Linked DNA regions of Coturnix japonica. The protein of the gene in region 1 interacts with the protein of each later gene in a pairwise test. Links are inferred from orthologs where the notes say so. Each region holds a gene or a part of one and is shown on either strand. Other genes may lie near its edges.

Region 1 (5,185 bases):
TGGAACTTGCACACATTTGTGCAGGTAGAAAGGCACATGATGACAGGAATTAGGGAAATTAATTCCTGTGCTTTGGACTGAAGTAATCTTCCAGAATGTAATTGGCTTTCAATCATTCACACACAACATGCCCTTCACCTTTAAATGGTAATACATTTTACCACACGATTCTGAATTCCACTTGTATTGGGTGCTAGGAAGGCTCCCATCACAGCACTGAACAGAGAATGCAGGCTTCGTCTGGGAGCAGACCATGTTGGGGCCTAACTCAGATTTCTGATGTATGCATCTATACAAAGTTTTACTATTTCTGGACTCCTTAGTGGAGGAAAAAGCAAACATTTCCTAGCCAGAGACGAAGCAGCCATTCCCTATGCAACGCATGGTAGTGAGTGCTGCCTTTCGTGCAATGCTCTCTATTTTCTTGCTGCACGTAGCTCTCTGTGGGGCACAGCCAAGTAGATACAAGACTACAACCCTACTCCAGGCTGGGCCTATATCACAGCAGAGCTGCACAAAGCGTAAGTGACAGTAAACATAGCTGTGTCTGCTTTAATAAAAACAAGTGAAATGTGGAAAATCACACTGCACAGAACTTTCCTGCTTCCTTGGCTGTGAGAGAAAGACTACAGGGGAAGTACCTGGGAGTACTAGGCTTGGGTTGCTCCTAGAGTGTCAGCCCGCCCTCTCCAGCTCATGGAATAACAACCTGTTATGGGTGACGAAGTGTATCTCGTTGATGTAATGGCCTTCTGCAGGCCAGGTGCTGTATTTAAATCTATTTCTTCTTGCCTGTAGTTCCCTTTTGCACGTCACATTCTACCACTCCGTGATGCCATATCTCCTCACGCTACTGTCAGCCCTGGCTGACAATCAGGGAGTCCATAACACCAGCACCCCTGCCAAACATTTAGGCATATTCTGGACACAGACAACAGATGTTTACATTTAAATTTGGACTAATTTGCATTTTTGTGTATTGTGATTTTTTTTAAAGCACTGTGTTAGCGATGAAAAGAAACGCGTAATTCTGAAATAGTAATACTTTCCTTAGAAAAGCCAGGTTTGCTAATGGATTGCCATCTGTTCAGCTCTTTGCCAGGAAATAGATTTGTCCTGCTTACTGAAAACAGTATTAGGGTGAAACTGTAGATTACACAGTGGATTTCTGAACTGTTTAATTTCAAGCGCATGCCAATAACAAACGCTTTGTTATTTCAGTAAGAATAACTTGAAATTCTCCTTTTCTAAAAACGTTGAAATTAAAACTATTCAGCAAACTGTACTTAGAGTACAATAGGAAAAGGTTCATCAATAGAGGGTGTCAGGTACTGGAACAGCTTCCCCAGGACAGTGGTCAAGGCACTGAGCTGACTGAGTTCAAGAAGTATTTGGACAATGCTCTCAGACACAGGGTTTGATTTTGGGCGGTTGTGTGTGCAGCCAGGAGTTGGGCTCAATGATCCTTGCAGATCCCTTCCAACTCAGGATGTTCTGTGATTCTGTGAAACTCTGAAGACTGCTTTGCTCTCGTAAAGCTCCAGTAAAGGTCCCTGCACCATCTTTCTCACCTTGAAACCGGGTTCATCAGGCTTCTTTTGCATAGGATTTACAGGAAGATGCTCTCTATCTTGCTCTGAAAGCCTGTCTTAATCCTCTAGAAAGAGCATGTAAAAGAAAAAGCGGCACTGGCCTAAATCGTGCTTTCAAGAGTACAAGATTTATACATGTTCAGAGCCACTGGGCTCCTTGATGGAAGTTAAGAAAGATGCATCTGCAACTCAAGAAACTGTTTTGGGAGCTGTGTGACCTCTTTAACTCACAGAGCCACAGAAGCAAAACAAATCAGACATCAGGTTAAGTCCTTCTCCTCTGTGACCACAGAAACTAAACAGCATTTTTGCTCGGCCTTGCAAGCGGCGCAAATGCATCGCAAGGGAGCCGTCCAATTTTCACAGCCTGGAGGCGAAAACTGAATTTAAACAAAAGTTCACGATTTCAGCACCTCTTTTCATTACCTCGGTCAGGCTGCTGACACAAACTCAAGGCGAGCAAAACATCAGCCGCTCTCTCTCCGCGGACGGAGCAGCAGCCTGCAGGCATGCACAGCACCCCGGCAGGGTAGCATCACACGGAGTAATAGCATCATCACACGGAGTAATAGCATCATCACACGGAGTAATACCATCACACGGAGTAATACCATCACCGTCAGCTCACAACGCAGCACTCCCGCACCGACCCCAAACGCCGACACACGCTCCCCTTACAACCGGGCGCCCGCTCCGCCCGCCCCAAGCGCGGTGCCGTCTCCGGACAGGTGCGGATGTGCTGCGGCTCTCCAGCGGCAGCGAGGCAAAGAGAACCGAGCTCACGGCCGCGGGGCACCTGCGCGCAGCCCCAGCCCTCGCCGTGCAGCCCTACCAGCGTCCCCCGGCCGCTCCGCGCCGCCGGACAAACTTTCCTCTCCTCTCCTCGCTCCGGAGCCCCGCGGGGAGACCCTGCCCACCCACCCGCCGCCTCCAGCCCTTACGGCGCGGGGACGGGCGGGCCGTCACGGCAGCGCCCGCCGCCCGCCTCGCACGGAGCCCCGCGATGTTCCCTCGGTCGGGCCGGGGGGCGGCAGCCGCCGCTCTTACCTCTGTCCAGCGTGAGCGGCTGGACCGCGGTCAGTGTCGCCATGTCTGCGGCGGGGCTGGAGCCCGAGTGACGCGCGGCTCCGGCACCGGCGTGGAGCGAGGGGAAGGGCGGGGAGGAGGCTGGCAGGGAGAGGGGGCGGAGGAGGAGGGTGGCTCCGTGGGAGGAGGAGGAGGAAAAAGAGGAGGAGGAGGCGAGCGGGGCGGAGAGGGCGCCCAGCGGAGGGCGGCTCAACGTGGACGGGACTCCGCGGTGCATCGTGCGCAGGGCGGCCCGGCGGGGCCCGGCGCGGGCTGCCGGCATCGCTGCGGTGCGCACCGGGACCCGGCGGGAGGCCGCCGAGCTCGCCTCAGAGCGGACTCCCGGGGCTCACGGCCCTGAGGGACGGGCGGCGTCGGTGACAGCTTTCTGGGGCCGGGGGCGGCGGGCGAGGGGCGGTCCGTCTGTGGCCCCGCCGCCCGGGGGTGCCGCAGCGGAGCGAGGGCGGGGAGCGGCGCAGCGCCGCCTGCGGGAGCGCAGCCGGGAGCTGCGGGGAGAGCCCACGGCGGAGCCCCTCGCAGGGCTGCGCTGCACCGGGGCTTCCTCGCGCCGCCCTTCGGACGGCACTGCTGTAGTCAGCACCGTCTTCAGCCCGGAGCCGCGTATGGGCTTCTGCGTGCTCCGGGCCGTCCTCAGGGTATCGCTCGATATCTCCTAGAACGCGTCCCATACAGTTCCACAGCTCGGGCTTGAAAGGCATAAAGGGAGAGAGGTCGATCGTGAGTCGAGGTCACATCGTGCGGGTGGATGTGCTCAGTTTGTGCAGGCCTGAGCGCTCATCCTTCAAGCTGAGCTTAGCGGTGGAGCCGTGCAGGGCTGGTTGTGCTGGCCGTCCTTAGCCCGGAGCCCAAGGGCAGCCGTTCTGCCTCTCCAGAAAGGGACGTGCAGTTGTGCTGCCTTCCACTGTGAGCAAGTGTGCAGAGAAGTGACAGTGGAGACCTGAGCCCCCTTTGACTGCCGTCCTGTGCAGTACCTGCGTTGCTGCACTTGCCCAAGAAACGCCAAAACTGGGAAAACTTTAACCCAGAGAGGAATGTAGCACTCTGCCTCTCGTTTACTGGGGGCACAGCACAGGGAATGTGAAAATACAGCACAAGCAGACTGTGCATTGGTAACAGCTGTAATTGCCGGCGTATTTAAGCAGTAGTAGAGGTAGTTAGCTAGGGAAGCTGTGGAAATGTTGTCACTAAAAGTTTTAAGAGATTAAAAATACATATGGCAGTATTAAAATTAGAGAGAAAAAAAATCAAGAAACCAGCTCCTGTCAAACAGTTTTTAAGATCAAAATTAATGTGAGGATTTCTATTTTGTAGACTTTATATACTTGTGGAGCAGCTGGATCGACGTAAAGCCTAACAGTGCCTCTTACACAGTCACACTGCTGCACACTGGGTTCACCAACCTTAGAAGGGAAGAAATTCACGTTTGGAGCTGTAACAGTGTAATGTGACAACACTCGAACTGTTCTGATTGGTACACGTGTAAAATTATGTTTAAATAATATTAAAAGCAAGGTGCCAGGTTAATTAGTTGTTTTTCATAGGGAACGTCGTAACCCTTAGGCTTGCTCTTTTAATCTGCCATGTTGTCAACAGACTTCTTGAAGCAAAATGCAGCTATAACAGTAAATTTTCTATGAATATCTGTGTAACGCTAATGCCAAATATGTCGCCTTTTAGAAATACACAAGTTTAGCTAATCTACTGTTTGTGCTTGAACTGTGGAAAGCAAGAAGCTTATTCCAGCTTTATCCTTTTTTATCTACCCCTGGTCAGATTTCATGTGCTCTGCCACAGGGGCTAATTGGCACTCAGATGAGAGACTTGAATGGGAGTATTACGCGCACTCAAGGAAGATGAAAAAGCAGCATTTGCTGGAATTAAACATGTCCTAATCAGCATAGCTGCACAGTTAATGCTCAGGGCTCTCAAAGAACTAGCCCAGGGATACTTAAAGCAACTGTACAGGGAAGATTTTAGAAGTTGTCCTGCAGAATTCCCTAACTGGAGAAAGGGGCTGGGATGAAGTAGGGAGCTGTGGCTCTTGCTTTCCAGCATTAGTTTCCAGGAGAAGTAGTGGGCTAACAACAAAAGTCAGCAAGAGAAGTAGTGCTGGTCAGCACCACCCTCCTGAAGGTGGATGCTTTTAGATGGAAGGCACTGGTCTGCCTCCCAGCCTGCTTGCTGATTTCTTGGCCAGCACTGGAAGTTTTAATTCAGTATCATGTGATGCTTACTGAACCAAGGAAATGAGATTGAATTAATAGAACTTCGAGCGTATAAACTAGAAATGGGCTTACTGACAGGTTTTCATAATTCGTCAGTGGTCAGATGCCAGTGAACAAGACTATTTCCCATAGGATGCCTTCAGACTTACTCTGTTGTTGTAGTGTTTTAAGATCTAAAATGGGAATACAGAGGTGTTTGCGGCCATGTTTTGAAATGACATGAGTTACATTGAAACATCACATTGGAAGTGGGTAAACCTTGTAAGAAGTTGTCCATGAAGT
Region 2 (4,266 bases), on another chromosome or scaffold:
TTCCCAAACACGGTACAGCTGCCAACACGGACTCTCGATTTGTACGATCTAACAAACAGATGCAAGGAATGTCTTTTTTCCTCCCCTAAACTGGCATGTGACCATCCAGTTAAAACCTGCACTCACTTTGACAACAGTCCTTGAATGCAACCTTAGCAACCCAGTGCTTATTGCTTCAGATTGTACTTCTCATTAGCATCTATATTAACCGCAGCAAAGGGTCAGCTGCTGGGCTCCGCTGTGCTAACTTAAATGTGCTTGATTGCTAAGCACTGCGTGGAGCTTAAGCTAAAGCTAAAAGCTTCAGGCTTCAGCAAATACACGGCAAATTGGAGACTGCTTACTATGTGGTCTCTTTGCACAGCATGATCTCTGAGATGGAAATAGGAGTAGCGAGGTTTTCATGACTAAATCTTGGTGCCCATCTCTCGTGGGATACTTTTGGCTGAGTACACGTCTGTAAAGTGATGACAAGAGGTGACGTTTGCAATATGAACTGCCGTGGGGTGGAAAGTGAAGAATCATCTTGTTCCGCTCCTTAAGGGAGAGTGAGCTCAGCCCACTTTTGGCATCACAAACTCGTAATGAAAAGGCATCGCATCTGTCCAGGAAGCACATTGTATTTACAGCACATGTAGGTCTTCTATGACACAGGATACAAACACAATCCCGTCACGCTAAGCTTATAATGCCAAAGCAAAATCATTGAACTAGTTAAGCAACGGCTCTGCTGTCTTTGCTGCTCCATAAAAGACTCCATCTATTTCTCAGAGCAGACTCTGAGTGACAGGATCACAGAACACATCTCTGGGAAAAGCAAGTAAAGGGCTGGTGCTGATGCTCTGCCCAGCTTAAATAAAACCACAGCAAACAAAACCAAGAAAGCAAAGCAGTGGCACAAATTTTCCTCCAACACTTCCAGAGTCCCTCCGTAAGACTGAGATCTCAGCCCTCAGAGCCACAAAGATGCCCCGTGCTCACACAGCTCTGACAAACATCTTCCAAACGCACTCTGATCTTAAGCTGCCCCCTGCTAAACAACCAACTCCATCAGCTTTAAAAATCACCTGCAGCATACAGGTAGGGTGGTTTTGCTTTTTGAGATGTAAGCTTTTCCTATATCAGCAGTTTCTGATGTGCACGTAGAAGGCTTTAAGAGCCCCAGGAGCCAATGATGCTTTACAGCACGCAGGCCTCTTTTCCTTTAGAAACAAGAAGAATTGCTTTTTGCAGTGTTCTGTATCACACTTTGGTGCTGAAAAAGAATTCAGAAGCAAGGTGCCTGTCACCGGATGGAAGAGGAATTAAGCAAATATAGATGACTTCTGTTTAGCTTGCTATGGAATGGTGAATGTTGCTATATACAACAGCTAACAGGATAATATAAAATGTGATCACAAAAAGAGCAAGTCTTGGTGACAGGCTGTATTTTCATTTTGTTCTTGTCAAGCAGAAACTTACATTAGCATAAGCTTTGATCAACAAACCTAATATGACTTATGTCTATGGGCCTACAAAGGGGACAACTGTCACCAAACACAAAAAGAAGTACGTTGTAAAGCACAAAAATGATGAACAGGGTGGATTTTTAGCAGCAGGCTTCCAATTCACAAGCTACCTAATGAAAAAATCAATTAAAAGCACAATGCAACAAAGAGCACAGAAATTCCATTACATCACACTCAAAAATACAACAGTTTTCCAAAAGAGAACACAAAACTCAGCTAGATCTCTCAGGAAATTAAGCCACAGATCACTACATAAACATCAAACGATGTCCTAAGAAAAGAAAACGCTGGGCTGGGTTCTTCTTTGTTTTGTTTTGTTTCTCAAATCAATGTGTTTCCACATGCATGAATACAACAGTCCTGGATATTAAGCTTTGCTCTACAAGGCTCCGCTATCAGGTTCTCTCTGGCTACATCACCACTGCACTGAATTACCTTGCAGACACGCTCCCTGCTGCAGGTACTTCCACCACGAGAGGCTTCTGACGGGCAGGCTCCCAAGAACAGCTGATGAGCAGCTTGCAAGGTATTGCTTCGTGTGATTGCAAGGGACGCATAAGGGAACCTACAGAACAGTTGCCTAAATCAAGAGACGTCAGGAATTCATGAAACATCAAGAATGCTTCAACGTTCAGCAGAAAGAAGCTGGAGCAATGGAGCTGTGCCGCTTGTCGCTGTTAGCGTTTGAGATTCTACTCTTGTCAAATCATTGCTTTTTAAGGAGAAAAGAAAAAGAAATCTGTTGTTTCCTAATAAAAGCGACAGACTTTTGAGCGGTTAAACACTGACGTGACCGAGTTCGACAAAAATTGTTTCAAGTATCCTCTTTTTAGTCACAGTGAAAATGTAAGACCGAGATGTAAATGTTAAAGTGAAGGACTGAAAGTTTCTCCGATGAAAAAGGCAAAGGTACTAAAATCAAAACGTATAAAATGCTTAAACGCATTTCCTTCGTGTGATATGAATAGAAAGGTTATCTGTAAAAAGTTAGAAAAATTAAAATAAATTACATATTTAAGTACACTTTCTCTTCGGCGTTATTATAAAAAGTCAGAGCAGTGTACTTTTGAATATACACAGAGTAAAAATGCGCAGGCGCTGCAGTTATCATCGCTATCTACACCACATCCCGTCACGTTAGTTTGGTTGCTGCAGTTGATTTTATTTGTTACTTAAGCTCATCTTCAGCAATCTCAGTACACCCAGCTAATGGGGACCCACTGTGGCTCCAGCCTCAGTTTCTCTATAGCAGTCTGCAGCTTCTCGAAGGCTTTGTCTAGGTTGTCATTTACGATGGTCAGATCGAAGTAGTGGTTGTACGCTCTCTGGATCCGGGCGCTTTCATCCACTGTTTTCTTCAGGTCGGTGTCCTGTTGGAAGCATTTGGAAATCACTAAGAATGCAAGACTTGTCACATCCTTACCAATCAACAAGCACTGGTTTGTGACATAGGATGAATGGCTTCATTTACAACTTTATACCGCTATGCATTAAAAAGATAAAATATCTATAATAAATCCACAAAGCCCTCAAGCTAAAATGCACTGATGGGACCGACAATTTTATACTTGGCATCAACAATGTTAAATATGGAAACCAAACATTGCACATCTTGCCATTCTTAAGGAAGTCAATAACAGCACGTGAGAGGGGCCCTGTGTGCCCAACAGACAGCCCATCGCTTTGTGCAGGCAACTGGCAAGTCAATCACAATAGTTAATGTCTGGCAATAATCGGATTGGTTATGTGCATTTATTTGTGCCTCTTTTTTCTTCCCTCCAGAAAGCACCAAAGCCCCAAGGTTTTAAATTAGTGTGAAACAAAACATCACCAAAGCTGCATTGGTGGATGAATCTCAGATCTTTAAAGCGCCACTGCAGTTGTAAATAGAAAAGCCAAAATTAAGAACTATATGAATAGCTTTTCTTTCACAGCACGTGAAGGAGGCAAGCAAATAGAGCACCACAGGAGCAGGAGTTCTTGCAATGGCCTGGGAAGCCAGGAATAGTTGAGACAGACCCACTAGCAAACAATGCACGCAATACTTCAAATGCACATTTCTTCTTTGTTCAGGAAGCTGAAGATGTCCAACATTATGATGCAGAATCCATACAGATTCATAACATGCATACTTTAAATGCAACTATCCTCTTTCTTATTCACAGAGGAAGTAAAACAAAAGCAAGGATGTCCCTTAGGGAATCAAATTTCAGGAAGTGCAGGAAATTACTTTCATACTGTCTGGGCCGTCTTAATCTTGTCTCTTGATTATACAAGGCAAAAGTCAGTGTTTGTGGGAAGGAGGCAACACAAAGCACCACAGACATACTAGAATCCTTAACAACCTGAGTCCACAACTCGGGCTGGACAGCTTCTCATGTTGTTAACAGAACGGAATCTCACAGGTTTCAGGAGAAAAAAAGCTAAAAAATCCCACATTCAATTCAGTATAAGTTAAATCACTCCCCATTTTATAGCCTGGAATGCCCCATCAGTATCACACAAGGTATCGCTACCATCTAAGCTACACAACGCCAGCTGGGTTGTCAGCATGCCAGGGCTCTTCTCAGAAGGGGAAGACACGCTGCTGAGCACACAGAATGATTTCATTTACTGCCCAGCCTGACTGTTTCTAATTTTCTTTGCACCAGTCCTCCAGTGGGAAAATTCAAAACCATAGAGAACATTCATCATTCGCTATGCCTCTCATTTGCCTCTGCTGGGTCTCAGAAAAGGAACCAGGACCTGAGGAATAAAA
Region 3 (4,463 bases), on another chromosome or scaffold:
CGGTACTACTTGGCATGAAATATCCCTTTGGTCAATTCAGAACACCTGTCCTCACTGTCCCCAACACAACATCTTATGCACCCACTCATGGGAAGGGACAGAATGAAGAAGAGAAACCACTTTGATGCTGTGCAAGCAACAGATAAAACACTGGATTTTGAAGAGAGAGACCATCTACTGTGAAGATGGTGAACTCCATGTCAGCCAGGCAGGACCAGAATCATGCAGGCACACATTTATTGATATTAACTGAGAACTGAGTCCAAGACAGATAAAAAAAATCACAGCTTTTCACAGCTAAGCAAAGCTTTTCATCAGAAGTCATTAAAATAAGCCTCAAGATGACAGCATGACTTGTTCACATTTGTAAGGTTCATTTTTGCATTTAACTGCCATTATACTTGCTAAAATTGCACCTTACATGAGAAAGTAAGCTTAAAATGGCCCACCATGTGTGAGTATTAAGTATGAGAGTAAAGTTGGCTCTAAAATAATTGCAAATATGTCTACAAATGACAAGCAGAGGTAACAGACTTCAACCTTAGGAGTATTTTTTGCAGGGAAAACAAAGTTCCCAACTCACCAGTAAATCAAAAACTTCATTAACATCTTTTCCACGAATCTCAATGCCATTAATCTCCAGAACTTCATCCCCTTCATGCAACAGCCCACTCTTCTCTGCAGCACCTCCTTTGACTATTCGACTAATGATGACAGAATCCATTTCATTACGAACAGTAGCTCCCTGTGTAGTAGAAACAAATTCTGAATTTATTACATATCACAAACTCAAAGCCATCTATTGTAAGTATTTCAAGGCAGTGAGGAGACATTTCTCCGTTGAAAGAAATGCATATAATATTGAATGTAATGCTCTAGTTTACAAAAACAAAAACCATATTTGTTTCTGTGATATTAAAGATTGAAGAAATAAACTACTCTACACTTTCATAGTCTTCTTTTTTTTTTAAATAAAAGCTTTCCTAAACACTAATTTTAAAGATGCAAAATAGTAGATTAAAAAGAACACTAACATAACACAGCCACCTGTAATTGGACAAGAATCTAAGCTTTCCTGCAGCTAAACTTGGATAGTGACTGCTATAATAAAACCCTAGCCAAATCCACACGATGAAAGCTATACAGGCTCTAAGTGCTGTCTACTGCTATATCATAATGCGCATTAAGTAATCATTTATGACCATTTATCATTTGGGCAGGTGGGGAAGAAAATGATTTCTAAGTTAAATATAACTTTCACACTCAAATCCTGTAACTTTCATAGCTATCTGCAAAGACAGCTTTACTGCTTTAAGCATAACTGGGCAAGTACAAATACTTACCAATGGAATATCTCGAGCTTTCTCAATACGAACTATTTTAACCGTTTCCCCTCCATACGTGCCAACATTCTCATAAATTTTTTCATCTGCAACAGGCTCGGGTTGCATTTCTTGTTCTGCAACCTTATCATGTGCTAGTAGAAGTGCCTAGTGTTAAACAAAATGAGAAAAATTCTAATTCCATATGCATACAAAATAGTAGCCATCAATGAAATTCTGCAATTTGAAAGCTCTTTATAACTACAGAATACTTTATAAATACAGAATACTGTAATTTCTACTTGACAAAAATTCTGCTTTCGGTTTTGGAAAATAATACAAAATTACTTTGAACACAAAGTTGGAACTATACTTATGGCTTCTCCTTCTTGAAAAAAAAGTCAGACATTGGTTTACTATGTATGTCAAAGATACAGAAGCAAAAAAACCTACTGCAGTCAAAACTACTCATGAATTTACTTCACTGGACAAAATTCTCTTTATGCACCCTACTATAAGAATGCAATAGCTGAATCTATCACAGAAAAAAACCCTCAGGAAAGTAAGTAGCTCATGTGTTGCCACTGACATTACTGATCTAGTGCTACCTTGCTCACGTCAAAACTACCTTGTAATACCTGCAGAATACAATAATTTTTTTTTACCTGCATGTGAGGGGCATTCAGCAAGGCATTGAGTTCCTGCCCATCCCTGTGGTGACTGGGTTTCAAAACACACTGAACCTGAAAAGAAATGAAGTAGTAAAGCTCTCAGTCTACCCAGTGATTTATCAGTCTTCCTTCTCCAACTGAAGCACAAAACCTTAGCTGCAATCATCATTCATTTTACTGAAAGTAAAATATGCGCACATAATTGTTATACTGACGCACTGAGCCTGGCCTAGTACACATTAGGAATACATGCAGTGAGATCACAGGACTACTCCAGAATGCTGCACCTCAGTGATTTTCTATCGAATGCAAACTGGTATCCAGTATATCACATGGATTTCTCAACAAAAACTAACAATGATAACAATGATCTCAGCTACCACAAGAGATGTATGCAAAGAAGTTGAGAAAAGAACCTGACAGCATAATTAGCCACAGTGAAGCCTACCATGCAAATACTGCTACATCTTTCAAAATTGACTAGTTTCTCACTACTGTGACCAGACTTCCTTTTCCTTAAAAGTAGATGATTTATTTTTAACCCAGTATTGCTACTAGCAGCAAGAACAAAGATTCCAAGACAGGTTTTGCAGCACTTGCTGGAACATCTGCCTCAGAAACTCTAAGAGTCAAAACTTCAAAATACCAGCATCTCAGCAAACCAGTTTTCTTCAGCTATTATTTATTTTGTTTGCCACAGAAAAAGAATAATCCACAGAAAGACAACAGCTGTTCTTGCTCAAGTAGCTTTTGTTGCCAAAAAAGGTTTGCATTCCTGTTCACTTAAATAGGTCTTGCCATCATCTCAAATACAGAAAATCCCTGTATGCTTTAAAGGCAAGCCAGGAGCAGGGCATTCCCCTTTATCTAAAGGCAAGGTTGAAGAAGATACTTTCTACAGTAATTATCTTCAGGCCTAATCTGCATCAAAGTCATGAGTCCAAAAGCACTAATGAAGCTGTAGGAATCAAGAACAGATTATACATAACAGCAGCTTTCTGTGCGATAGAAAACATTCTTTTCCCCGAGAGTTTTCCACTCTTAAGGATGAAAAATGTGACAAAAAAAAAAAATAAAAAAAAAATCAAGAACTAAACTGAAGAACTAATTTAGATAAAAACACAGAGAACAGAAGGAATTCAGCTTCACATCAGTTTGACCTAAGTCATATCTCTGCAGCTGCCAGGAAGTTATCCCCAGTTAGAAGTCCTGCAAGCAAGACATTTCAAACATGTGGCCAGATGCTAAGTATTAGACAGAGAAAAAGATGTACCAATAATTACGAACGTATGTAGTACATCTCAGAATCAAATCTGCACGCTTTGTGAATTTATAAAATAAATATTTAGCATAAGAACAATCCTAAACAATATATTATTTAAAGTAACATTTTGCTAGTTGCTACATGATTCACATATGAAGCCTGAATAATAAGCGCACAATAAGCCATATATACATTTAGATGCTCAGAACAGCATCTCCCCTCCTCCTCTATTTTTCCATGCCTTGTGACTTGGCCCAACCAGTGATCCTCTGTGCAATAGCATCCTCTATGGCAGCTGAATTTCCTCTTTGAAAAATTATATTACTCAAAAACGCTAACAGCTCCTCCACCTCCTTCCTAAGGAAAAGATAAATTCATTATTTATTTGCTTAATATAATGTGTGAATCACTAGGAAAGGTTCAGTCTGCTTTGTGCAACTCTTATTACACTGGTATTGCTGCATGTCAGATTGCTTTGTTATTTAAGGTAAAGAATTCCATGTCTCATCAGGTGAAGAAATCCAAATCTAGGCTGACGTTCCAGAAGTGACACACCACAGACAGAATAAGCATTCCGCGCTAAACATTTGGCAATACTATTATTTTCTTAACCCTTCATTCCAGTTTTTATTGTTAGTTACATTAACTTGAACTCTAACAGCTAAGAAATTATTAATGGGGTTTCATTATAAAAGCCACAATTTGGAGGCACACTGTGAGACACATACCAGAGGGCTCACACTGGAATGATGTTGGCCCTTCAGAATATAATCATACCTGCAAAACCATGTTGCGTGGGTTCAGTGCGACCGTTGGGAGCAATGTACATTCACATAATAAAAAAATTACACTGGAAGTTACAAACATACAATCTGTCTTCTCAGAAGGCCTGATCAAATTTAATTGATTACAGTTCCTGAAGTGAAGGGTATCAGGTATTTAGGAACATAATTTATATAAATTGAGTCTGTAGAGTATATTTAATAGCAAGAATATATTCAAGGCATTTGACGTGGTGTTACAAGCTAAAAACTACCAAGTGTCTTACACGCTGCATCAAATATTCTTACAAGGTCAAGATTCAGACCATGTTCCCATAATCCTTGCCTCTATTTTGGTCAAATTTAAAAGGATTTAAAATCAATTTAATTACACTTGATGTTTACTGGCTATTTTTGTTTAAGAGATGAACAACACAATGTTTTA

What was found.
Region 2: the proteins of LIN7A (region 1) and MPP6 interact in binary tests that used the Homo sapiens proteins (3 or more experiments, as listed by UniProt). The link is inferred for Coturnix japonica from reciprocal best matches to the Homo sapiens genes LIN7A and PALS2.
Region 3: the proteins of LIN7A (region 1) and MPP5 interact in binary tests that used the Homo sapiens proteins (3 or more experiments, as listed by UniProt). The two-hybrid records come from large-scale screens. The link is inferred for Coturnix japonica from reciprocal best matches to the Homo sapiens genes LIN7A and PALS1.

The regions. Positions count from the first base shown.
Region 1 is NC_029516.1:36,418,245-36,423,429, forward strand, and holds the start of LIN7A (protein lin-7 homolog A), read right to left. Parts: upstream 3,020-5,185; 5' UTR 2,941-3,019; coding exon 2,640-2,940; intron 1-2,639. UniProt on the Homo sapiens protein: Plays a role in establishing and maintaining the asymmetric distribution of channels and receptors at the plasma membrane of polarized cells.
Region 2 is NC_029517.1:28,923,314-28,927,579, reverse strand, and holds the end of MPP6 (MAGUK p55 subfamily member 6), read right to left. Parts: intron 2,879-4,266; coding exon 2,702-2,878; 3' UTR 1,141-2,701; downstream 1-1,140.
Region 3 is NC_029520.1:27,495,702-27,500,164, reverse strand, and holds part of MPP5 (MAGUK p55 subfamily member 5), read right to left. Parts: intron 2,066-4,463; coding exon 1,988-2,065; intron 1,491-1,987; coding exon 1,344-1,490; intron 746-1,343; coding exon 584-745; intron 1-583. UniProt on the Homo sapiens protein: Plays a role in tight junction biogenesis and in the establishment of cell polarity in epithelial cells.